Anolis sagrei: one gene and its partner. Each later gene encodes a partner of the first gene's protein in a complex. Links are inferred from orthologs where the notes say so. Each region holds a gene or a part of one and is shown on either strand. Other genes may lie near its edges. The genes, in order: POLR3F and CRCP.

Region 1 (12,179 bases):
TATTTAGGGGGAAGATAGTAAGTTTGGGGGGGGGGTAGATTCTTGGTCTATTAGGAGATAATAGAGGCCCCTCCCCCTTCTGGCACCAACGACTGCTCTGGCCAGAGAGAAGACAGAGGGGAGCAGAAGACACTGCCATCTTGTCTTTACTAATAATATAATATAGTATATTGTATATACGTATAATATTTATAATATTATAATGTAATACACTATAATACTAGTAATAATAATTCAATATTATAATTTTAATTATATATTTAATTACATGTAATATTACTAATAATATTACAATATAATGGTATAGTGCAATATAGTAATATATACTGATATTGTACTTTGCTAATAATATAATATATTGTATGAAAATATATATTGTAAGCCGCTCTGAGTCCCCTTCGGGGTGAGAAGGGCGGCATATAAGCGCCGTAAATAAATAAATAAATAAATAAATAAATAATGACATCACTAATGATTTAGAGGTTTCAAGTATGTAATTATTTTGTTACAGATAAACTAAACTCTTAACTTCTACAAGATTTCTTGGAATTTATTGAAGGAATAGTAGCTACCATTAAGTTCCATTCCAGTCTGGAGAAAAGGGCCATCTTTCTTAGCTCAGAACAATTTATTTGAATGACCATGGTTTGTTTGTTTTTTGGTCTGATTGAATGACCCTTGGCTCCTCCTGCAATTTAGTCTGCTAATTAAATGGCAGACTAACTGATTGAAAAGCTATAAATGGAGAACAATGGGTAAGCCAGAGATAAAGGGAAAGGCAAGCTATGAACGATAGAGATTCCTTTTTAGTTTTTCTTTTACAGTGGAGGTATGTAAGCCTTATAGACTTTTTAGGAATGAAAACTCATGTCCATGTGAGTTTGGATAAGGAACAGTCTGGATAAGGGCAAACAAATTGAAATTGAATCCAGTCAGGATGGAGGTACTCCTAGTCAGTCGAAAGGCCGAACAGGGTATAGGGTTACAGCCTATGTTGGACGGGGTTACACTCCCCCTGAAGACAAAGGTTTACAGCTTGGGAGGCTCCTAGATTCATCACTGAGCCTGGAACCCCAGGTTTCAGCAGTGGCCAGGAGAACATTTGCACAATTAAAACTTGTGCGCCGGTTGCACCCATACCTTGAGAAGCCAGACTTGGCGACAGTGCTCTATGCTCTTGTTACATCTCGAGTAGACTACTGCAACACACTCTACATGGGGCTGCCTTTGGAGACTGTCCAGAAGCTCCAAGTAGTCCAATTAGCGGCATACTGGAGTGGTGTACAGGGAGCATATAACCCCCCTGTTATGTCAGCTCCACTGGCTGCCAGTTTGCTATTGGGCCCAATTTAAAGTATTGGCTTTGGCCTATAAAGCCCTAAACGGTTCTGGTCCAACTTACCTGTCTGAATGTATCTCCCTTTATGAGACAACTAGAGCTTTAAGATCTGCTGGAGAGCCCTTCTTTAGGTCCCACCCCCTTCGCAAGTGCAACTGGTGGAGATGAGAGACAGGATCTTCTCAGTGGTGGCTCTTCGGCTGTGGAACTCCCTCCCCAATGACATTAGGCTGACCTCACCCCTCCTGTACACAGGCATTCAGGAAGTAGGGTAACACGGAATCCGACCTCAACCTAACAGTCTGAACAATGTCTATGGGAAACCCAAGGAGTATGGAAATCATGACTTAATACTTTGTATGTTTTTAATCTGTTTACTGTATCTATATGTTTTAACTGTTTTATAATATAATATGTTTATTGTAAGCCACTCTGAGACCCCTTCGGGGTGAGAAGGGCAGGGTATAAATATAGTAAATAAATAAATAAATGTGGACAGGATATAGTTGGCTAGTTTCTTCTTTCTATTTTGACTGTATGCTACACTAATCCATTCCCAGTTCTAAAAAAACCCTATAGCTGAAGCTGCTGTCTATTGTTGACAGGCTACCATGGATGAAAATCTAAATGATGTTCTGTCCCAGTATTATGTGATCTATGCTGCTTTCATAGACACTTGTTTTCCTCATCCAATATAGTGAGCACAGAACGCTGGCAGCATTAAAATTCATTAAAAAATCTTAGTGGATCAGGTCACATACACAAACAGTGATATAAACCAATTATTCACAGCAAACTGTGTGTCTCATCATAAAAGGCCAGTTAATCAAAAAACAAAAAAGTATATCACCTATAATAGAACATAAGATGGAAGCATAAGCCAGCATCTGAATCATGCAATATTCCTGTGTCCAATTTTGTGTCTTGTAACTAAGTCATAATTTCAGGAGACCCATAGAGGTGTCAGTTTGTTACAATCCACGGTTTGGGATGTGCTAGACTTTTAAACATTGCAATTTTTACCTAAACACATCTATGTACAGTATAGGTTTATGTAGTTTAAACTGTTTTAATTGAACTTGTTTTAATCATTTTATTTATTTAATATGTCAATAATTTGTTGCATTTTTATCACAATTCTCTTATTTTCAGATTACGTTGTAAACTGTTTTGCACTCCAAACCATGGAAAATTGTATGTTTTAGTTTTTACAAAAAATAAATTGATTACAAGTAACATGTTATTTGTAAATAAACTCTGCCAAGCTTTGAATATATATATATATATATATATATATACATACATACATACATACATACATACACACACACAGAGAGAGAGAGAGAGAGAGCAGGAACCTATGGTTTTGTAGTAGCTTATGGATTGGATGATCCCTTGGAAAAATTAAAGAGATTTATGTTTTGTCACAATGGTGATAGTGGAAAGTTGTGATTTATGATTTTTTTTAAAAAAAACAATGTAAATGAAATGTGATTTGATAGTAGTTTAGAAAGTTCCCATGCAATTTAAAGAACAACAACAACAGTTATCGAAGTGTATTCATTTTAATTATATTGGACCTCACAAGCGGAAAAGAAAAGAAGATTTATAGTAAAGGTAAAAATATACTAGAAGCTTTGGGTGAAAAGAAAAAAAAGCTATTGAACCCAGAGCCTAAATAGTAGAGAGAAATAAGTTCCCTTGATACTGATGGAAAGATCTCTGGATGAGGAAGTTGGGTGTCATTGACAATCTCATGCAGCATTGTCATTTGCTCATGGATTCCTCACAGGACAGATTGAAGCTAAAAAAATAAGTATACTGTCTATAAGCCCATCACATAATTAAATGCAAGTGTAACGTATACAACAATGCTAAAGCCTAATACATAAGAATGTACATGGCAGCAGAAAAAATTAAACAGAGAAAGAAAAACATAATTATAATCCATTGCAGAGATATGTAAAGGAAATGGAAGAAGACATATGAGAAAGCTGTTTTTTAAACAAATTGTTTATTGCTTCCAATAATTTTCCTGTTAGGTTGAAAGATATTTTAAAGACAAAAATGACAAGCAAAATAAAAACAAGAATTAACAAAATGAATATTAAGTTGTATATTTATCAAATATGTGAAGAGATTTATAGCATGCATGTACCTGATTTAAACTCTACAAGTGTATTTGTATCTATTTCATGTTTGGCATTTCCTGATGTCGAGATACGAAGTGGTATAACTTGAGGCACTAGGATGGAGCCAGCAGTCATTTTTTCCTACAATTGTTTTTAAAAAACCAAAAGAAAAAAAACCCATAAATAAACATAGTACAGCAAGGAAAATTTAAGTCAATAAATCCAACTGAAGGATTTATCTACATTACCCCTCTGGGAATAAGGGCCCTTCTATACTGACCATATAATGCAGTTCAAATTTGCCTCCTCAAATTGCAAATTCCAAGACCCCATACAATGTTCCCAGGGTAGTTAAAGTAGAATAATAACATAGTATAATGTCATTAGTTTTTCTACAAGCACACACTGTATATTACACACAGCTAGAATTTTGAACTGTTGGTTCTTTCTGGGCCCTTCCACACAGCCATATAACCTAGAATATCGAGGCAGAATAACCCACAATATCTGCTTTGAGCTGGAATATCTGAGTCCACACTGCCAGATACCCCAATTCAAAGCAGAAAATGTGGGATTTTATTCAGCTGTGTGGAAGGGGCCTCACTCTGCTGCTATTTCTGAACCATGTTAGCCCAGAGAAACATTCTGGAAAACTTTGTATCCTTTGGGACTGACCTAATTAAATAAAAGTTTTCTGAAGGAGTTTAAGTTCCAAAAGGCTGTCTTAAAACCAGATTGAAAGGAATGTAGGGCCCCTTTCACACAGCTGAATAAAATCTCACATTTTCTGCTTTGAACTGGAATATATGGCAGTGTGGACTCAGATAACCCAGTTCAAAGCAGATATTGTGGGATTTTTCTGCCTTGATATTCTGGGTTATATGGCTGTGTGGAAGGGCCCCATATCATTACTATTCAGGAAAACCTAAAGTTGAACTCCTATATTTTCAAGTCACTTGCCCCTAAATTGTGGCCTAACAATTATACGGTTTTTATCCATGGGTTCTCCTCCACTTCTTCAAAGCTACTGGTGTCATACAGCTTCTTTGTGCATTTTATTTTGGGAGCTATGGCATGGCATGAGTTTTTTCAACTCCAAGGAGCTTTGGGAAGCCAAGCAAGCAGCCGAAACACCTTAAAGAAGAGCTTTCCAAAGATTTAATGCTGGTGACACATCTTTTTAGACAGGTATCATTTCATAACATAGTAATTCAGTTTTACTAGCAATCAACTCCTTGTAAGAGACGTAGAAACATACATGTCATAACAAAAATGGGCATTGTTCCATTATCAGGGCAGAAACCATTAGGGGCCACGAGAGAGAGGATACTTGATTATATGGGGGGTGGACAGTGGGTTGAAGGAGTAAAGTCATCCCTCCCCTTTTCCTGTTATTCTGCCCAACCCTCCTTTATGATATGGGAAGCAGAGAGGGGAAATAATCTCCAAAAACAGGGGAAATTATTTTCGTCCTTCAACTCCTTCCCATAAAATGAAGTATCCTTCTCTCTCTAGCAGCCTCTAATAGCTTCCACCTGGATAATGGAACAGTACCAAAAATGTATGGAAATACAACGTACCTCATGAAACTTGTAATTTATATATAAGAAATATATGATTTATTGCTTATTTTATATTGACCCAGAGGTTTTCTCTTCTGTTCACATGACAAACCTAAATTCTGAAGGTGATGCATGAATGTGTCCCAACACAGTTTGGAAACAGATATTGTGAGATGATCTGCCTTGATATTCTAGGTTATATGGCTGTGTGGAAGGGCCCTCATATAACCCTGTTCAAAGCAGATATTGTGGATGATCTGTCTGGATATTCTGTGTTATAAGGCTGTGTGAAATGGCCCTCAGATAACCCAGTTCAAAGCAGATATTGTGGTATGATCTGTCTTGATATTCTGGGTTATATGGCTGTGAGGAAGAGCTCTCTGTTCAAAGCAGATATTGTGGATGATCTGCCTGGATATTCTGTGTTATAAGGCTGTGTGAAATGGTCCTCAGATAACCCAGTTCAAAGCAGATATTGTGGGTGATCTACTTTGATATTCTGGGTTATAAGGCTGTGTGAAAGAGTCCTCAGATAACCTAGTTCAAAGGAAATATGGTGGGATGATCTGCTGTGATATTCTGGGTTATATGACTGTGGGCCCTTCCACACAGCCCTCTATCCCAGAATAATAAAGCAGAAAATCCCACATTATCTGAGTGTGCTTAGATAACCCAGTCAAAGTAGATATTCTGGAATATAGGGTTGTGTGGAAGGGCCCTGGGCGAATAACTGTAGCGTAGACCTTAACTTTTGAGTTGTTCAGGCATTTTTGAGTCATACAGAATGCCTGTAGTTTGTTGCCTTGTTTCCTTCTCTCAGCTGCTATTTCTGAGCCATGTTAGCCACACACAATATATAATATTATATGTATATGTATATGTATGTGTGTGTATATATATATATTTATGACCATCGTGGCATTGAATTGTGCCAATTGTAAGCCGCCTTGAGTCGCCTCCCTTCTATGAGAAAGGCGGCATAGAAATGTTAATTTTTAATTTTTGTATGTATGTATTTTATCTTTTATAATTTAGCTGTAAATCGCCTAGAGCATTCTCGGATGGAGAGCGATTAATAAGTTATTAAATGATGATGATGATGAAATGCCACAAATAAATAAATAAATAAAAATTGTTCATAACTTAGGGTCCTTCCACACAGCCATATAACCCAAATATTAAGGCAGATAATCCACAACATCTGCTTTGAACTGGGTTATCGGAGTCCACACTGCCTTATATTGCAGTTCAAAGCAGATAATGTGGGATTTTCGAGTTGTGTGGAAGGGGCCTTAGAGACTGCCTGTATTACCATTGACGAGTTCTAACCCACTTTGACTCTGCCCCTGAGCAGCAGGCCTTGGTCTAACCTGCCTCTCATTGCTTTGCTGTGAGGACAACAAGGGCATCACCCCCTTCTTGGGAAGAAGGCTCAGCATACAGTTCCATTAAGAAAAATCCCTTTATCCTGCAAAATCCACGCCCCTCCCTTTTCCCCTCCACTTTCCACGTCAGTCTCTGATTCTCAGAACTCACCGCCTGGCTGGGAGGCAAAGCAGAGTCTGCGACTGGCTTGGTCTCCGTGGCAACCGCAGCTTTCTCTGGGCGCAGCCTGTTGACGTCATCTGAGCGCGCCGCTTGCCTGACGCCGAATCGCCCACAGTCTGCATGGTCGGAGGAAGGAGAGCTTTGAGTGATGGCGGAGTTGAAAGCCCCAGAGCCCTTGGAAATCGAAAACAGGTGGGCAGGACAAAGTGTTGAGGGCCCTTCCATGTAGCTGACTAAAATCCCACATTACCTGCGTTGAACTGGAATATATGACAGTGTGGACTCAGATAATCCAGTTCAAAGCAGATATTGTGGGATTTTCTGCCTTGATATTCTGGGTTATATGACTGCATGGAAGGGTCCTAGAATAAAGGGAAACAAGGCTAAAGAATTGGAATGTAGTGGTGATAATAAGTGTATAGTGACTACTGTAAGAGTGTTTGTGTGGAAATGTTAAGGTGCCTGTATGCCAGTGGTTCTCAACCTGTGGGTTCCCAGATGCTTTGGCCTTCAACTCCCAGAAATCCTAACAGCTGGTAAACTGGGATGTGGCTGGGATTTCTTGGAGTTGTAGGTCAAAAAACCTGGGTACCCACAGGTTGAGAACTACTGCTGTATACATTTATGCAGCACATATAATACTATGGGCCTTTCCAGACAGTCATATAATCCAGAGGATTGTAGCTGTTTAATCAGGTTCATAGAAAGAGATGCGGTACTTCAAGTAACCTTGACCACTTCCTCAGCAAATATTGCTGCAGTTATATATGTTACAGTCTTAGCTTTTCCACAATTAACACCAATGTTCAAAATAAGTACTATTATGTAGTCTTGGGCAGTATGCTAAAACTTGGGGTGATAAGAAAAGTAGGTCCTTTTCAAGCAGGCCCTATATCTCAGGATCGGATCCCAGGTTTTCTGTTTATCCCAAATTATCTGATACAGTGTTGACTCATATAATCCAGTTATAGCAGAAAACCTGGGATCAGATCCTGGGAAATAGGGCCTGTCTGGTAGAGCCTTTACGGTGAGGGATACTGGAGGTGTGAACTCCTAAGGCAAGAACTGCTTTCTTTTGTACAGAATTAACCAATAGAGACAGTCAATGTATGACAGGGGTAAGAGCAACGGGACTCTTTTCTTGATCATTGTTCTTTATATTAGTTTTTGTTGTATTTGTGTGTGCTTACTGTTTATCACCACTTTTAATAAAAGGTGGGGTTTCTGTGTTTTAAATAAAATACATTGGCTAATGCGTTTTTGAGTTTTGTGTGTGGTGATCCCTTTTTATTTTTATTTTTTTGCTATTCCTACTTTGTCTAGGATCATTGAGCTTTGCCATCAGTTTCCTCATGGCATCACAGACCAGGTGATTCAGAATGATATGCCTCACATGGAAGCTCAGCAACGAGCCATGGCCATTAACAGACTGCTCTCTATGGTAAAAAGCCTATTAAGTTTGCATGAAAGTATGTCTTCAAAAATGCTGGATAAAATATAGTGGTTTATTATACTTCCTTTTAAAGTAGCAGTTCTTCTGGGTCTGCAAACTGATAGAACAGCTGTTGGTTCTATCTTCTGTCTCTTTATCTGTCTCTTTATCAAAAGGAGCATGCCACATTACCATTAATTCTAGCACACCTAAATCTTTGGTTTTTGTTTAGGATTGTTTTTATATTATACTAGCTTGGGGACCCGGCGTTGCCCGGGTTATTAGAGAAAGTGGGTAATGGCGGTTCTGTATGCCAAGTTTGGTCTTTATTGGTCTTTGGATAATGGCAGCATTATTTTCAGGAAGTGAGTGAAGGTACTTGAAGTCCCATCATCCATGGGCCATCCTCCTACAAACAGCAGCAGGATATAGAGTGGGTCATGGGGGCTTTGTGTGCCAAGTTTGGACTTTATCAGTCATTAGATGAGGGTGGCAGTGGTGTCAGTAAGTGAGTGAAGGTATTGCAAGTCCCATCATCCAAAGTCCATCCCCTTTCAAATTGCAGCAGGATGTAGAGTGGATCATGGGGGCTCTGTGTGCCAAGTGTGGTCTTGATTGGTCATTAGAAGGGGGTTGCAGCAATCTTTGGAAGGGAGTGGAGGTACTTGAAGTCCCATCATCCATGGTCTGTCCTCCTCCAAACTGCACCAGGATGTAGAGTGGGTCATTGGAGCTCCATGTGGCAAGTTTAGTCTTGATTAGTCATTGGCGAGGGTCTCAGTGGTCTCAGGAGGTGAGCAACAGTACTGCAAGTCCCATCATCCATCTCCAAAGTTTTCCAAATAACACCAGGACGTAAAGTGGGTCATGAAAGGTCCATGTGCCAAGTTTGGTGTTGATCCGTCATTGGATGAGGTTTGCAGAGGTCTCAGAATGTGAGTGAAGATACTGGAAGTTCCATCATCCATGGTCCACCCTTCTCCAAAACTGCAGCAGGATGTAGAGTGGGTCATGGGGGCTCTGTGTGCCAACTTTGGTCTTGATTGGTCATTAGATGAGTTTTGCAGTAGTCTTGGATAGTGGAGGTACTTGAAGTCCCATCATCCATGGTCTGTCATCCTCCAAACTGCTCCAGGATGTAGAGTGGGTCATTGAAGCTCCATGTGCCAAGTTTAGTCTTGATGAGTCATTGGCGAGGGTCTCAGTGGTCTCAGGAAGTGAGTGAAGTGACTGCAAGTCCCATCATCCATTGTCAAATTCTTCCAAACCGCACCAGGATGTAGAGTGAGTTATGCAGGCTCTCTGTGTAAATTGTGGTGCTGATCCATCATCGTTGGCAGTTGTAATGGTCTTAGGAAGGGAGTGCAGGTAATGCAAGTTCCATCATCCATGGTGCATCCTCCCTCAAACTGCACCTGGATGTAGAGTGCGTCATGGAGACTCAGTGTGCCAAGTTTGGTATTTATCGGTAATTGGATGAGGGTTGCAGTGGTCTGAAGAATTGAGCAGTGGTACTGCAAGTCCCATAATCCACGGTCCATCTCGGCCAAACCACACCAGGACGTAAAGTGGGTCATGAGAGGTCTCTTTGTGAAATTTGGTCCTGATCAGTCATTGGATAAGGTTAACAGCGGTCTCAGAATGTGAGTGGTGGTACTGCAAGTCCCATCATCCATGGTTCATAGTCCTCCAAACTGCAGTAGGATGTAGAGTGGGTGATGGGGGCTCTGTGTGCCTATTTCGGTCTGTATTGGGAGTGTTCTGACCCAGCCACCGGCCTTTCCTTTCCTCTCTTTCTCATCTCGGAATGTTGGAATTGAGGCTGGCCAATCAGAGACCATATGCAAATTTCCTTCTCATGACTCCGTTTCTGTCATGAACTCTTTTCTCCACCAGGGGCTCCTCTTGAAGCTGGCCAATCAGAGACCATATGCAAATAGCACCGCTGCCCAGCCAATCGGAATGTTGGAACTTTCTGGCTGGCCAATCAGAACGCTGGCACATACACCGTCCGCCGTCCGCCCTCCGCCCTCCACAATTCCTCTGTCCGATACAAACACTCTTCTTTATTATATACTAGCTTGGGGACCCGGCGTTGCCTGGGTTATTAGAGAAAGTGGGTAATGGTGGTTCTGTATGCCAAGTTTGGTCTTTATTGGTCTTTGGATAACGGCTGCATTATTTTCAGGAAGTGAGTGAAGGTACGTGAAGTCCCATCATCCATGGGCCATCCTCCTACAAACAGCAGCAGGATATAGAGTGGTTCATGAGGGCTCTGTGTGCCAAGTTTGGTCTTTATCAGTCATTAGATGAGGGTGGCAGTGGTGTCAGTAAGTGAGTGAAGGTACTGCAAGTCCCATCATCCAAAGTCCATCCCCTTTCAAACTGCAGCAGGATGTAGAGTGGATCATGAGGGCTCTGTGTGCCAAGTGTGGTCTTCATTGGTAATTAGAAGAGGGTTGCAGCCATCTTCGGAAGGGAGTGGAGGTACTTGAAGTCCCATCATCCATGGTCTGTCCTCCTCCAAACTGCACCAGGATGTAGAGTGGGTCATTGGATCTCCATGTGCCAAGTGTAGTCTTGATTAGTCATTGGCGAGGGTCTCAGTGGTCTCAGGAAGTGAGCAAAGGTACTGCAAGTCCCATCATCCATCTCCAAAGTTTTCCAAACAACACCAGGACGTAACGTGGGTCATGAGAGGTCTATGTGCCAAGTTTGGTCTTGATCAGTCATTGGATGAGGTTTGCAGAGGTCTCAGAATGTGAGTGAAGGTACTGGAAGTTCCATCATCCATGGTCCACCCTTCTCCAAAACTGCAGCAGGATGTAGAGTGGGTCATGGGGGCTCTGTGTGCCAACTTTGGTCTTGATTGGTCATTAGATGAGTTTTGCAGCAGTCTTGGGTAGTGGAGGTACTTGAAGTCCCATCATCCATGGTCTGTCGTCCTCCAAACTGCTCCAGGATGTAGAGTGGGTCATTGAAGCTCCATGTGCCAAGTTTAGTCTTGATGAGTCATTGGCGAGGGTCTCAGTGGTCTCAGGAAGTGAGTGAAGTGACTGCAAGTCCCATCATCCATTGTTAAATTCTTCCAATCTGCACCAGGATGTAGAGTGGGTCATGCTGGGTCTCTGTGTAAATTGTGTTCCTGATCCATCATCGTTGGCAGTTGTAATGGTCTTAGGAAGGGAGTGCAGGTATTGCAAGTCCCATCGTCCATGGTGCATCCTCCTTCAAACTGCACCTGGATGTAGAGTGCGTCATGGAGACTCAGTGTGCCAAGTTTGGTATTTATTGGTAATTGGATGAGGGTTCAGTGGTCTGAAGAATTGAGCAATGGTACTGCAAGTCCCATAATCCACGGTCCATCCCCGGCCAAACCACACCAGGACGTAAAGTGGGTCATGAGAGGTCTCTGTGCGAAGTGTGGTCCTGATCAGTAATTGGATAAGGTTAACAGCGGTCTCAGAATGTGAGTGGTGGTACTGCAAGTCCCATCATCCATGGTTCATCCTCCTCCAAACTGCAGTAGGATGTAGAGTGGGTGATGGGGGCTCTGTGTGCCTATTTCGGTCTGTATTGGGAGTGTTCTGACCCAGCCCCCGGCCTTTCCTTTCCTCTCTTTCTCATCTCGGAATGTTGGGTTTGAGGCTGGCCAATCAGAGCCCATATACAAATTTCCTTCTGTTATGCCCTGTTTCTGCCATGAACCCTCTTCTCCACCAGGGGCTCCTATTGAAGCTGCCCAATCAGAGACCATATGCAAATAGCACCACAGCGGCAGCCAATCAGAACGCTGGCACATACACCGCCCTCCCTCTGTCCGCCCTCTGTCCGCCCTCTTTCCTTCCTCTGTCCTCCCTCTGTCCTATACAAACAAACACTCTTCTTTATTATATATACAGATTATATATTATACTTTCGGATCATCATTTTGAAGGAAAGATGGGATATTGACTTCTGAAAAATGTAGATCAGTCATGCATTTGAGTTTTGTGTATGATTGTTTATAGTGGGTCCTAGGGCTTTGATGCCAGTAGCCTCCTATGGACACTAAAATTAGTGGCAGCTCAAGTCCCATTATACACAATGACCTTCTTTATACTAAAAGAGGTACCTTACATTTGTGTAAAATGACAACTCAAGTATGTGAAGACAGCCTGAGAATC
Region 2 (12,239 bases), on another chromosome or scaffold:
TGGGGTGGTTCTCCCGCAAATATTCATAGATCTCTCTACCAAATATTGTTTTTCTAGGAACGATCAACATATTACGAAACCTAACCCATCGAAGATCATAGAAGCAACCTTAAGATAGACTGCACCTAACACTGGAGGCTCTACAATAAAACCCTCCCTATAGGAAATGGGACATGGGTATTTTTTTTGGAGGGAGGGAAAAGTCTGAACATTTCGCTCACCTCGGATGCCATGTCTGGCGACGGATGTTCTGTTCCTTTTCAATGGGAGAAAATAATAACCTGCAAAAATAGGGAGGGAAATATATATATAGAAAAGGGGTCTCATGAATTAGCCTTTCTTTTTAATTGCAAAATAATTATATATAATTAAATCTATATATGTATATATAGATTGCAATTGTTGTTTCCTCTCACCTGCTTCAATGCCAGCCGAAGCTCTGCTGCTGCTACTGCTGCTCCAAGGCTCAGGGGTCTCCCTTTTGAAGGGAATGCCCTGCACAAGCCACGCCCCCAAGAGGCGGGGCCAGGAGGAGGCATGAATGGGAGGCCACGCCCCTCCCTCCCTGGCCACGCCCCCTCCCTGGGCCATACGACTGGGTTCTAGCCTTCAAAATTGCACACACAGCCCAATTGTAGGGAAAGAATACATACGCTTTCCAAGCAAGAAAAGGTCTTCGTCATCATAATTCCATCATCATTATCATAAAATAGGAATGTCCTGGCCCCCGATTTTGGGTTATTTTGGAGAGATCTAGGAATCAATAAAGAGAATTATCCTCATTGGCCATCAATGTCATAAGATGGGGGGAAAACAGGAATGGTCCTGCGTTATATTGAAGAGATCTGGATAATACGAATAATAATAACAATTGCAATTATAATTATTGGGAGAGAAATTGAGCGTGTACAAAATTATTATTATTATTAATATTAATAATAATAATAATTACCTTACCTTGGTAGAGAAGTGGATAAATAATAATAAATAATAATAATCACTTGGTAAAGTAGAGCTGATTAAGAAATTAATAATAATAATAATAACATTAACTTGGTAGAGAAGTGGATAAATAAATAATAATAATAACTTGGTAAAGTAGAGCTGTGTAAGAAAATAATAATAATAATAATATTAACTTGATAGAGAAGTGGGTAAATAAATAAATAATAATAATAACTTGGTAAAGTAGAGCTGTGTAAGAAATTAATAATAATAATAATATTAACTTGGTAGAGAAATTGGTAAATAATAAATAAATAAATAACTTGGTAAAGTAAAGCTGTGTAAGAAATTAATAATAATAAGAAGAACATTAACTTGGTAGAGAAATTGGTAAATAACAATAATAATAATAATAATAATAATAATAAATAACTTGGTAAAGTAAAGCTATGTAAGAAAATAATAATAATAATAATTTGGTAAAGAAGAGGTGGGTAAATAATAATAATTAATAATAATCATAACTCGTTGGAGAGGAGGTATGTAAGAAAACAACAACAACAACAACAACTTGGTAGAGGAGGTGTGTAAATAATAATATTAATACTACTAATAATAATGTGGTAGAGAAGTGGTGGAATAATAATAATAATAATAATAATAATAATAATAACAACTTGGTAAAGAAGAGGTGTGTAAGATAATAATGTTAAATTGGTAGAAAAGAGGTCTGTAATATTTTTTTTTCGTGTCAGGAGCAACCTGAAAAATTGCAAGTCGCTTCTGGTGTGAGAGAATTGGCCATCTGCAAGGATGTTGCCCAGGGGACGCCCAGATGTTTTGATGTTTGACCATCCTTGTGGGAGGCTTCTCTCATGTCCTTGCACGGAGCTGGAGCTGACAGAGAGAGCTCATCTGCACTCTCCACAGATTCGAACCTGTGACCTATAGGTCTTCAGTCCAACCAGCATAAGGGTTTAACCCACTGCACCATCGGGGGCTCCTGTAATAATAATAATAATAATAATAATAATAATAATAAAAATAATGTTAAGTTGGTAGAGGTGTGTATGAAAATGATGATGATAATAATAGTAGTAACAATAAAGATAATAATTTGGTAGAGGAGAGATGGGTTAATAATAATAAATAATAATTTGCAAAGGATGATAGTAATTATTATTATTTGGTAGAGAAGTGTGATAATATAACAATAATAACAGCAATAATAACATAGAGAAGAGGTGGGTAAGAAAATAATAACAACTTAGTAGAGAAAAGGTTAATAATAATAATAATAATAATAATAATGTGGTAGAGAAGAGGTGGATAAGAAAATAATAATAATAATAATAATAATAATAATAATCATCATCATCATTATCATCCGGTAGAGAAGAGATGTGTAAGAAATTAATAATAATAATAATAATAATAATAATAATAACTTGGTAAAGAAGAGGTGTGAAAGAAAATAATAATAATGTGATAGAGAAGTGGGTAAATAATAATAATAATAGATGCTGATGATAGTAAGAAGAGGAAGAAGACAGCGAGGAGGAGGAAGAAGTGCAGTTTAGAAATCTGGAAGGGGAAAAGCAGGTTATTATTATTAATATTATAAATAATAATAATAATAATAATAATGGCAGCCCAGGAATCTGGAGGTCCACGTGATGGCCACCCATTTTCTCGTGTCTTCAGCAACCTCTTTCTATGGATAAGCCCTTTGTGTGATACGTGTTATTCTTACATTGACGTATAGAAAAACGGTTGCCCCGCTCAATGGGGGGAAAGCAACAAAAAGGGAGCCAATAAAGGAAAGGGTCCAGTCTGCATTTCCTGCGTGAATGGCAGGGTCAGCGCCCTCGTTTCCAAAGCAAGGATGACAAGGGAGCCAAAAAGACAAAGCCACCCATGAGGCCGCTGGGCATTGTGTTTCCTGAATGAGCCAGAAAGAAAGGAAGGAAGGGATGAAAAGAGAGGAAGAAAAAAGGGGCTTCTCTCCAGCCCTCCATCTATCTATCTATCCATCCATCCATCCGCTGAGTTGGCACACTTTCCCCAGGCATGAATGGGGGCCCCCCTGCATGCGTGTGCGCTTTCCAATTCTGTCCCTTGCACGCACGCACAACACGGAAAGACTTTGGAGCCATCAGCAAATACTCCTACTAATAAAAAGGTAAAGGTCAAGGTTTTCCCCTTGACATGAAGTCCAGCCATGTCCGACTCTCGGAGTTGGTGCTCATCTCCATTTCTAAGCCAAAGAGCCGGCATTGTCCATAGACACCTCCAAGGTCATGCGGCTGGCATGACTGCATGGAGCACTGTTACCTTCCTGCTGAAGAGGTACTCACATTTGCATGTTTTTAAACTGCTAGGTTAGCAGAAGCTGGGGCTCATAGCGGAGCTCACCCCAATCCCCGGATTTGAACCGCCATCCTTTTATTCAACAAGATCAGCAGCTCAGCGATTTAACCCGCTGCACCACTGGGGCTCCTATTAATACTACTACTAATAATAATGGCACTATCTTTCATGAGAAAGAGAGAGGTGGAAAAGGGCACAAAGGTGTGTAAGAAGGAAGGAAGGAGAGAGAGAGAAGGAAAGAAGGAATGAAAAGAAGGAAGGAAGGAAGGAAAGAAAGAAAGGAGGGAAGAAAGAAGAGAAGGAAGGAAAGAAGGAAGGAGAGAAGGAAGGAAAGAAGGAGGGAAGGAAGGAGAGAAGGAAGAAAGGAGAGAGAGAAGGAAGGAAAGAAAGAAGGAGAGAAGGAAGAAAGGAGGGAGAGAAGGAAGGAAAGAAAGAAGGAAAGACAAAAGGAGGGAAGGAAGGAATAAGGATGGAGAGAAGGAAGGAAGGAGAGAAAGAAGAAAAGAGGGAGACTAGGAAGGAAGGAAGGAAGGAAGGAAGGAAGGAAGGAGAGAAGAAAGGAAAGAAGGAGGGAAGGAAGGAGAGAAGGAAGAAAGAAGGGAGAGAAGGAAGGATGGAAAGAAAGAAAGACAGAAGGAAGGAAGGAAGGAAGGAAGGAAGGAAAAATTAAGGATGGAGAGAAGGAAGGAAGGAGAGAAAGAAGAAAGAAGGGAGAGAAGGAAGGAAGGAAAAAAGGAGGGAGGGAAGGAAGGAAGGAAGGAAGAAGGAAGGAAGGAGTGAAGGAAAGAAAAAAGAAGGAAGGAAGAAGGAAGGAAGGAAGGAAGAAAAGAAGAAAGGAGAGGAAGGAAGAAAGGAGGGAGAGAAGGAAGGAAGGAAGGAAGGAAGGAAGGAAGGAAGGAAGGAAGGAAGGAAGGAAGGAGAGGCTCCTTTCCCTAAAGCCGGAAATACACATGATATGATATGGTATAATAAGATACGATAAAGGAGCCCCCAGTGGCACAGTGAGTTAAACCGCTGAGCTGTTGAACTTGCTGAGTGAAAGGTTGGTGGTTCGAATCCAGAGAGTGGAGTGAGGTCCTGCTGTTAGCCCAGCTTCTGCCAACCTAGCAGTTCGAAAACATACAAATGTGAGTAGATCAATAGTACTGCTTCAGCGGGAAGGTAAGGGTGCTCCATGTAGTTATGTCAGCCACTTGGCCTTGGAGGTGTCTACGGATAACTCTGGCTCTTCGGCTTGGAAATGGAGATGAGTACCAGCCTCCAAAGTTGGACACAACTGGACTTAATGTCAGGGGAAAACCTTTACCTTGTACTAAGATATGATATACCTATGAATTGGACCTCCGTCACAGATGCTGAAAGGCCTGGACCATCTAAAAGGGAAGAATAGCAGGCCTCCTCCTCCTCCATGGGCGCTCAAAAGCCTTAATAATATAAAAGGAAATAAGAGGTGTTTGTTAATGCCCTTAGACCACAGTTCATTTGCATACAAAACAAGTCAACACAACACAACACAATTGGCATCTAGATCTGGCCTAGTAACCTTCAATGGCATGAAAGGTGGGAGAGATGCCAATGTTTTGCACTGATTCGCTGCCAAAAAGGGCTGCTGCCAAGTCCGACCTCTTCCATGGACGCTAAAAGGAAATCATAGGAGAGTTCTTAAATGTTCTTAAAGGCCATAGAAGTCAATGCAAGGCAGCAGGCTCTCCCTTCATTCAAAGTATCTATAGGGTTAAGTAGATGGAGTAATAATAATAATAATAATAGTCTCTTAATTAACTGCCCCCCATGGGAATTGGTAGATATGCAATAATAATAATAATAATAATAATAATAATAATAATCTTTCAATCAACTGGCCCCCATGGGAATTGGTAGATATGACACAATAATAATAATAATAATAATAATAATAATAATAATAATAGTCTTTCAATTAACTGGCCCCCATGGAAACTGGTAGATATGCCATGATAATAATAATAATAATAATAATACTGTTTGGATCGTCGATGTTGCAATTCCAGGCGATAGCAGGATTGAAGAGAAAAAAAATGAGGATTTAAAGATCGATCTGCAAAGACTCTGGCCGAAGCCAGTCAAGGTGGTCCCAGTGGTGATTGGCACACTGGGTGCAGTGCCTCAAGACCTTGGCCTGCACTTAAACACAATCCGCGCTGACAAAATTATCATCTGCCAGCTGCAGAAGGCCTTTGAGGGGAATTTACCTTGATTTGAGGGAGTTGTAGTTCACCTATATCCAGGGAGCACTGTGAACCCAATGATGGATCTGGACCAAACTTGGCATGCATACCTGATATGCCCAAATTTGAATATTGGTGAGTTTTGAGGGGAATTCGTCTGTGTACTTTGGAGTTATAGATCCTGGGATTTATAGTTCACCTGCAATCAAGGAGTACTCTGAACTCCACCAATGACGGAATTTGACCATACTTGGCAAACAAAGCCCCCATGACCAGCAAAAAAAAACACTGGAGGCTTTGGAGGGATATTCACCTTGATTTGAGGGAGTTGTAGTTCACCTACATCCAGAGAGCACTAATGGATCTGGGCCAAACTTGGCACACAGACCTGATAGGCCGAAATTTAATGGCTGGAGGGGTTTGGGGGGAACTGACCTTCCTTTCTGCGGATTGGTAGATGCTATAAGAAGAAGAAGAATATATAATAATAATAATAGATTGTGAAGTGGGGCTTCTGATAGAAGTATCACAGCCCTAGACTCCAGTGGCTATTCTCCCGCCAAAAGTCTTGCAAGTGAAAGGCATTCTGGGAGTTGTAGTCCTTGAAGAAAGCGCCCTCCCTTCAGCCGGCCGTCTTCCCTCGCAAGGGCCACGCCTTCCCGCCTTCATCTCCCGGCGTCCTTAGCGCCTCGCTTTCTGCCTCATGCTTGAAGCCCCGCCCCCTTTCCTACCCTGCTTGTCTCCGCCCCCTTTCTCCTCTGTCTCGAAGCTCCACCCCTTTCCCAGTCTCCGCCCCTTTCCTCTCAGTCTCCTCCTCTTCCGGCCTGAAGTCCCGCCTTTTCCCTAATTCTCCTCCTGGGAAGCGAGATGGAAGTGTAAGTTGGAGGGAGGGAAGGAGGGGAAATGGCAGGAAAGCCAGGCCCAGGAGGCGAACCCGAGGGAATCTGAATTATTAATATGTATGTTTTGTTGCTTATAGAATTATTCATATTAAGCTATAGAGAGGAAATAGGATATATTAAGCCATAGAGAGGAGATGATGCTTCTACTATATATACATTTATATGTTCTATTTATATATGTATAACAGATTAAAATACAGAAATGTATATATTAATATATAATACATTATATATACTATACACATGTTAATATATATAGAGAGGTATATTACTTATATGCTTATATAGAATTCATATATATATATATATCACATTATATTAATATAATACTAAAATAATGTATGCAATATTATTTATATATGTATAACATTAAAATAAAGTAATGTATATATATATATAATACATAATATATACTACACACATATAAATGTATATAGAGAGGTATATTACTTAAATGCTTATATAGAATTCATGTATATACATATCACATTATATTAATATAATACTAAATATATGCAATATATGCTTTAATATATATTATATTAATCTGTATTAGAGAGGGATATTGCTTATATATGCATACATATCACATAATATATGCAATTATGTGATATCTATATATATAAGACATACATTATTTTAATATTAATATATAAAAATAATGTATCATATATATATATATACTTTAATGTATAGAGGGGATATTGATTAGATGCATATATATACACACACACACACACACACATACACATCACTTAATATATATTTATAATATATTAATATACATATATTAAAATAATGTATGTATAATATATATTGTTTAATGTACAGAGAGGGCTATTAATTAGATGCTTATATACATATATATTAATATAACAAAATAAAGTAATGTATGTATAATATATGTACTAACATTTATACATACATGTCACATATATATTAAAATTATATATATATATATATATATACACACATACATACATATACTGTATAGAGAGGGAGGGATAATGCTTATATGTCATATTATATATATACTATATTAATATATTAAAATGTATGTATTATATATATATATATACACTTTAATATATAGAGAGGGATATTGATGAGATGTTTACATACATATATGTACATATATATACACATACATATCACTTAATATATTAATATATAAGATAAAGCAATGTATGTATAATATATATATATATATATAAATTTTATATTATTAATTGTAATATCAATAATATGTAGGTTTTGTTGGTTCTTTTGCCGACCAAAAAGCCAACCACACACACACAGACATATATATCTATCTCCCCATAGGATTCCTCTTCATTCGAGCTTCCCAAGACTCCCAAAGAATTAAATATACAGTATAACATATATGGAGCAAAGCCACTGCTACGGCTGACGTGTCTTTGGGGTCAGCACAAAAAACGAAAACTCCCTTCTCAGCATATTTCCGGAAGGGGAGCCCCTCTTTTTTTTTGAATCCCCCCGATTTGTTTTTTTTAAAAAACAAAACACCAAAACAATGCGCCCAACCTGTGGAAGTTTGTGGAAGAGGCGGCGTGGAACTTGCCCCGAAAGTGATGAGCGCAGCGGGTTCGATTCAGAACTAAATCAAATACATTGTGCTTTTAGGTACGTGCGGGGCCCCCCGAGAAGCGCTTTTTGTGGCCGCCGCACTGTTGTTGTTTCTGCGCTCTTTGCTGGCTCAGCAGAAAAAAGGCCTTTGTCTCTGGGATGTATGGATGGATGGAGGGGGCCCTTCCGCACGGCCCTTCGGTGTTTTTGTTAATAGATAGATAGATAGATAGATAGATAGATAGATATGAACAAGATTCAGTTATGAACAAGATTCAGTCGGTTTGTTATTAAGGTGATCCATCATCTGTTAACTATCTATCTGTATCAATCCTCTCTCAACTATTTACCTTCTGTTAACTATCTATCTATCACCTGTCCGTCAATCATCTGCCAACTATATGTATCATCTGGTTTATTAATCATCTGCCAATTATTTATCTGTCTATCTTTCTATTATCTATCATCTGTCCATCAATCATCTACCAATTATCTATCTATGTATCTATCATCTGCCAACTATTTATCTATCATCTATCTATCATATGTCTATCAATCACCTGTCAACTATCTATCTATTAGTGTTTGTCTTCTCTCAACTCATTTTTCTATCTGTATTAATCATCTGTCAATCATCGAGCTATACAGATAAATCATCTCATATATCATCTATATCAATAATCTCTCAACTATCTTATCATCTGTCAACTATCATCTATTTATCAATGATTTGCCAACTATTATCTGTCTGTTTATCAATCATCTGTCAACAGTTTATCAACTATCAATTATCTGTCATCTATCTATCTATCTATCTGTTATCTATCAATCATCTATCGATTATCTGTCATCTATCTTTCATCTGCCTATCAATCTCCTGTCAACTATATTTCTGTTATGTTTCTATAACCTATCAATTATCTGTCAACTATCTATCTATCCATCTATTTATTATCTATCAATCATCTGTCAACAATCTGTCCTCTATCTTTCATCTGTCTATCAATCTCCTGTCAACGATCTTTCTGTTATGTTTCTATCATCTATCGATCATCTGTCAACTATCTTATCTTTCTATCTATAATTCTATTATCTTTAATCATCTGTCAACTATCTGTCATCTATCTTTCATCTGTCAGCTATCTTTGTTATGTTTCTATCTATTATCTATCAATCATCTGTCAACTATCTGTCAACTATCAATTATTTGCCAACTATCTATCATCTATCAATCATTTGTCTATCAATCACTTGTCAACTGTCTATCATCTATCTATCTTTTCATTTGTCTGGATTTTCCCAGCGTTCCTCTGGACACACATTATCTGACTTCAGCAAAATCTGGCTCGAAATGAGGAAGCTGCCCTTTAAGAAAATATCTCCTTTGGGCTTTGAAAACAGTCTGTCTTCTTGAGCCAGGATCGCCTGCATAAAGGCCTAATCCTGCCTGTTTGTTTTGTTGTGCAGGAAAGACGGAAATGCAGCCCTTCTGAGCAACTATGAGGTAAAACCATTTGTGGCATAATTAATTGGACTTCTGATGCCTTGTGTTTCATCTCTGCTCTGTGTATTTTCATATGCATTTTATCAAAGTACATTTCTATATGTGCATTTATAAGTTTTTACTATGTTTATGTGTTTTGATTATGCCGTAACCTGCCTTGAGCCAGGTTGCCCAAAGGCCCTCTCATAGAATGGCCATTTTGGAGCGTTTCGGATTCCCGGATAAGGGAGCTTCACAGTTGAAATGGGACCAAAGCGCTCTAAAAGTGCCATGCAGAACGGTCCCAGCAGAGGGTGGGAAACTCAACGGCGCCTCTCTTTTCCTGGCTTGGTTTACATAGCAATCGCGGATGGGAATGTTGTTGGAAAGTGCTTTGCGGCCCCCGTGAAAGAGCAAATCGGGTTTCCTTTCAGGTCTACCAGCTGCTGATGGACCTGAAGCAGCAGCGGCGAGAGATGGGGAAGAGCAAAGCGAGCGCCGGGCAGCAGAACCTGAACACCATCATGTACGAAGTGAGTCCTTTCGGGGGGTTCCTGGTATCCGTGGACATAGAAAACCCTCTGGTTTTGTTGCCTCTCTCTCTCACGCTATGTTTTCTTCCCTTGGAAAAATCCCCATTCTGACATGTGCGTATTCTTCCCGTTGATGACAGCATGCTTGTGCCGATGTGTTCGTTGTGAGCATCGTTGGGCACTTTTCTGTTGTCTCAGAAACTCCCTGCCATCCGAGTAAATGTGGGCGTCCTTGAACCAAGTCTTGGGAGGTTTAGAAAGTCTGCCTTCAGGAAAAATAATGAACCCAGCGAAAGCCCTTCCCATTTTTGGACATCAATACGCTTAAAAGTTTCAACTTCTTCAGGCCCCCTTTTCCTTCCTTCCTGCTTCATTCATATATATATTTCTTCCTTACTTACTTTATTTCTTCATTTCTTTTTCCCTTCTCTACCTTCCTTCCCTTTCTTTCATTGTCTCCAACATACGTATTACTCCTTTCCCCCCTTCCTTCCTTCCTTCCTTCCTTCCTTCCCTCCCTCCCTCCCTCCCTCCCTCCCTCCCTCCCTCCCTCCCTCCCTCCCTCCCTTTTTCATTGTCTCCAATGTATGTATTTTTTCCTTCCTCACTCGTTCTTCTTTCCTCCCTTTCTTTTCCCTTCCTTCCTTCCTCTCTCTCTCTTCTCTTTCTTCCATTGTCTGCAATGTATGTATTACTTCCTTCCTCACTCATTCTTCTTTCCTCCTTTTCTCCTTCCTCCCTTTCTTTCATTGTCTCCAATGTATGTGTTGCTTCCTTCCTCACTCTTCCTTCCTCCTTTTCACTTTCTTTTCCCTTCCTTCCTTTTCTTCCATTGTCTCCAATGTATATATTGCTTCCTTCCTCACTCATTTTTACTTCCTCCTTTTCTTTTCTCTTCCTTTCTTTGTCTGTCCGTCCTTCCTTCCCTTCCTTCCATTGTCTTCAAGCGACTTAGTTTCTCAAATCACTCCTGACATGAAAAAATTGCCTTCAATATATGTATTGCCTCATTCCTTCCTCACTCATTCTTACTTCCTCTTTTTCTTTTCCCTTTCTTTTCTCTCCCCCCTCATTTTCCTTCTTCCCCTTCTTACATTGTCTCCAATGTATTTTTTCCTTTTCTTTTCCCTTTCATTTCCAGTCTTTCCTTCCTTTCTTCCATTGTCTGCAATGTTTGTATTGCTTCCTTCCTCACTCATTTTTACTTCCTCTTTTTTCCCTTTTTTCCCTCCCTCCCTTTCCTTCTTCTCCTTCTTACATTGTCTCCAATGTATGTATTCTTTTTTCCTTTTCCTTTTCATTTCCAGTATTTTCTTCCTTTCTTCCATTGTCTGCAATGTTTGTAGTGATTTCTTCCTCACTCATTCTTACTTAATCTTTTTCTTTTCCCCTTCTTTTTCCTCCCTCCCTTTCCTTCTTCCCCTTCTTACATTGCCTCCAATTGCCTCCTTCCTTGTCTTTTCCCTTTCATTTCTAGTCTTTCCTTCCTTTCTTCCATTGTCTGCAATGTTTGCATTGCTTTGTTCCTCACTCATTTTTCCTTCCTTTTTCTTTTCCCCTTCTTTTCTCTCCCTCCCTTTCCTTCTTCCCCTTCTTACATTGTCTCCAATGTATGTATTCTTTTTTCCTTTTCTTTTCCCTTTCATTTCCATTTTTCCTTCCTTTCTTCCATTGTCTCCAATAATTGTATTGCTTCCTTCTTTCTTTCCTTCTTTTCTTTTCCCTTCTTTCCTCCCTCCCTTCCTTCCTGTTGTGGGAATTCTTTCCACCTCCCAATAGAACAACAAATGCTGCAGCTTCTCTCTCGCTGAATCAATTTGCAGTTCATTTGGCTTGAGAGGCAGGAATGGGGCTGAGTTTTGCCTTTCTCCCCATCCTTTCAGACCCTGAAATGCATTTCCAAGACGCCCTGCAAGTTCCAGAGCCCACAAGTGGTGAGCGACTTCCTCGCGGCCATGAAAATCCACAAGTTGACCAAGTAAGTGAGGAAATGGGAATGACTGAGTCCTTCCAGGTGAGCCGAAGCAGGTATGGAGATGCGGGATTGCCTCTCACGCTGTATCTGGTGCTCAATGGGATGCAAAGGATGGTCCCGAAAGAATGGTCCTATCAAAGCAAACATGAGCTGAGAAAGCTCAGCAGCCAACCGGGCCTGATGGTTCCAGGGAGCAAAGTGCGTGGTTCTTTCCTCGTCCTTTGGCCAGACAGAAGG

The links.
Region 2: POLR3F (region 1) and CRCP share a complex: the UniProt entries of both Homo sapiens proteins name them as parts of the RNA polymerase III complex. The link is inferred for Anolis sagrei from reciprocal best matches to the Homo sapiens genes POLR3F and CRCP.

Annotation. Positions count from the first base shown.
Region 1 is NC_090024.1:133,270,617-133,282,795, forward strand, and holds the start of POLR3F (DNA-directed RNA polymerase III subunit RPC6), read left to right. Parts: upstream 1-6,649; 5' UTR 6,650-6,729; coding exon 6,730-6,773; intron 6,774-7,904; coding exon 7,905-8,022; intron 8,023-12,179. Other genes in the region: DZANK1 (double zinc ribbon and ankyrin repeat-containing protein 1), read right to left, coding at 3,498-3,606. UniProt on the Homo sapiens protein: DNA-dependent RNA polymerase catalyzes the transcription of DNA into RNA using the four ribonucleoside triphosphates as substrates.
Region 2 is NC_090031.1:27,641,232-27,653,470, reverse strand, and holds the start of CRCP (DNA-directed RNA polymerase III subunit RPC9), read left to right. Parts: upstream 1-6,296; 5' UTR 6,297-6,389; coding exon 6,390-6,397; intron 6,398-6,403; exon of another isoform or gene 6,404-6,479; coding exon of another isoform or gene 6,480-6,481; intron 6,482-9,478; coding exon 9,479-9,515; intron 9,516-9,928; coding exon 9,929-10,027; intron 10,028-11,910; coding exon 11,911-12,005; intron 12,006-12,239. Other genes in the region: ASL (argininosuccinate lyase), read right to left, coding at 222-233. UniProt on the Homo sapiens protein: DNA-dependent RNA polymerase catalyzes the transcription of DNA into RNA using the four ribonucleoside triphosphates as substrates.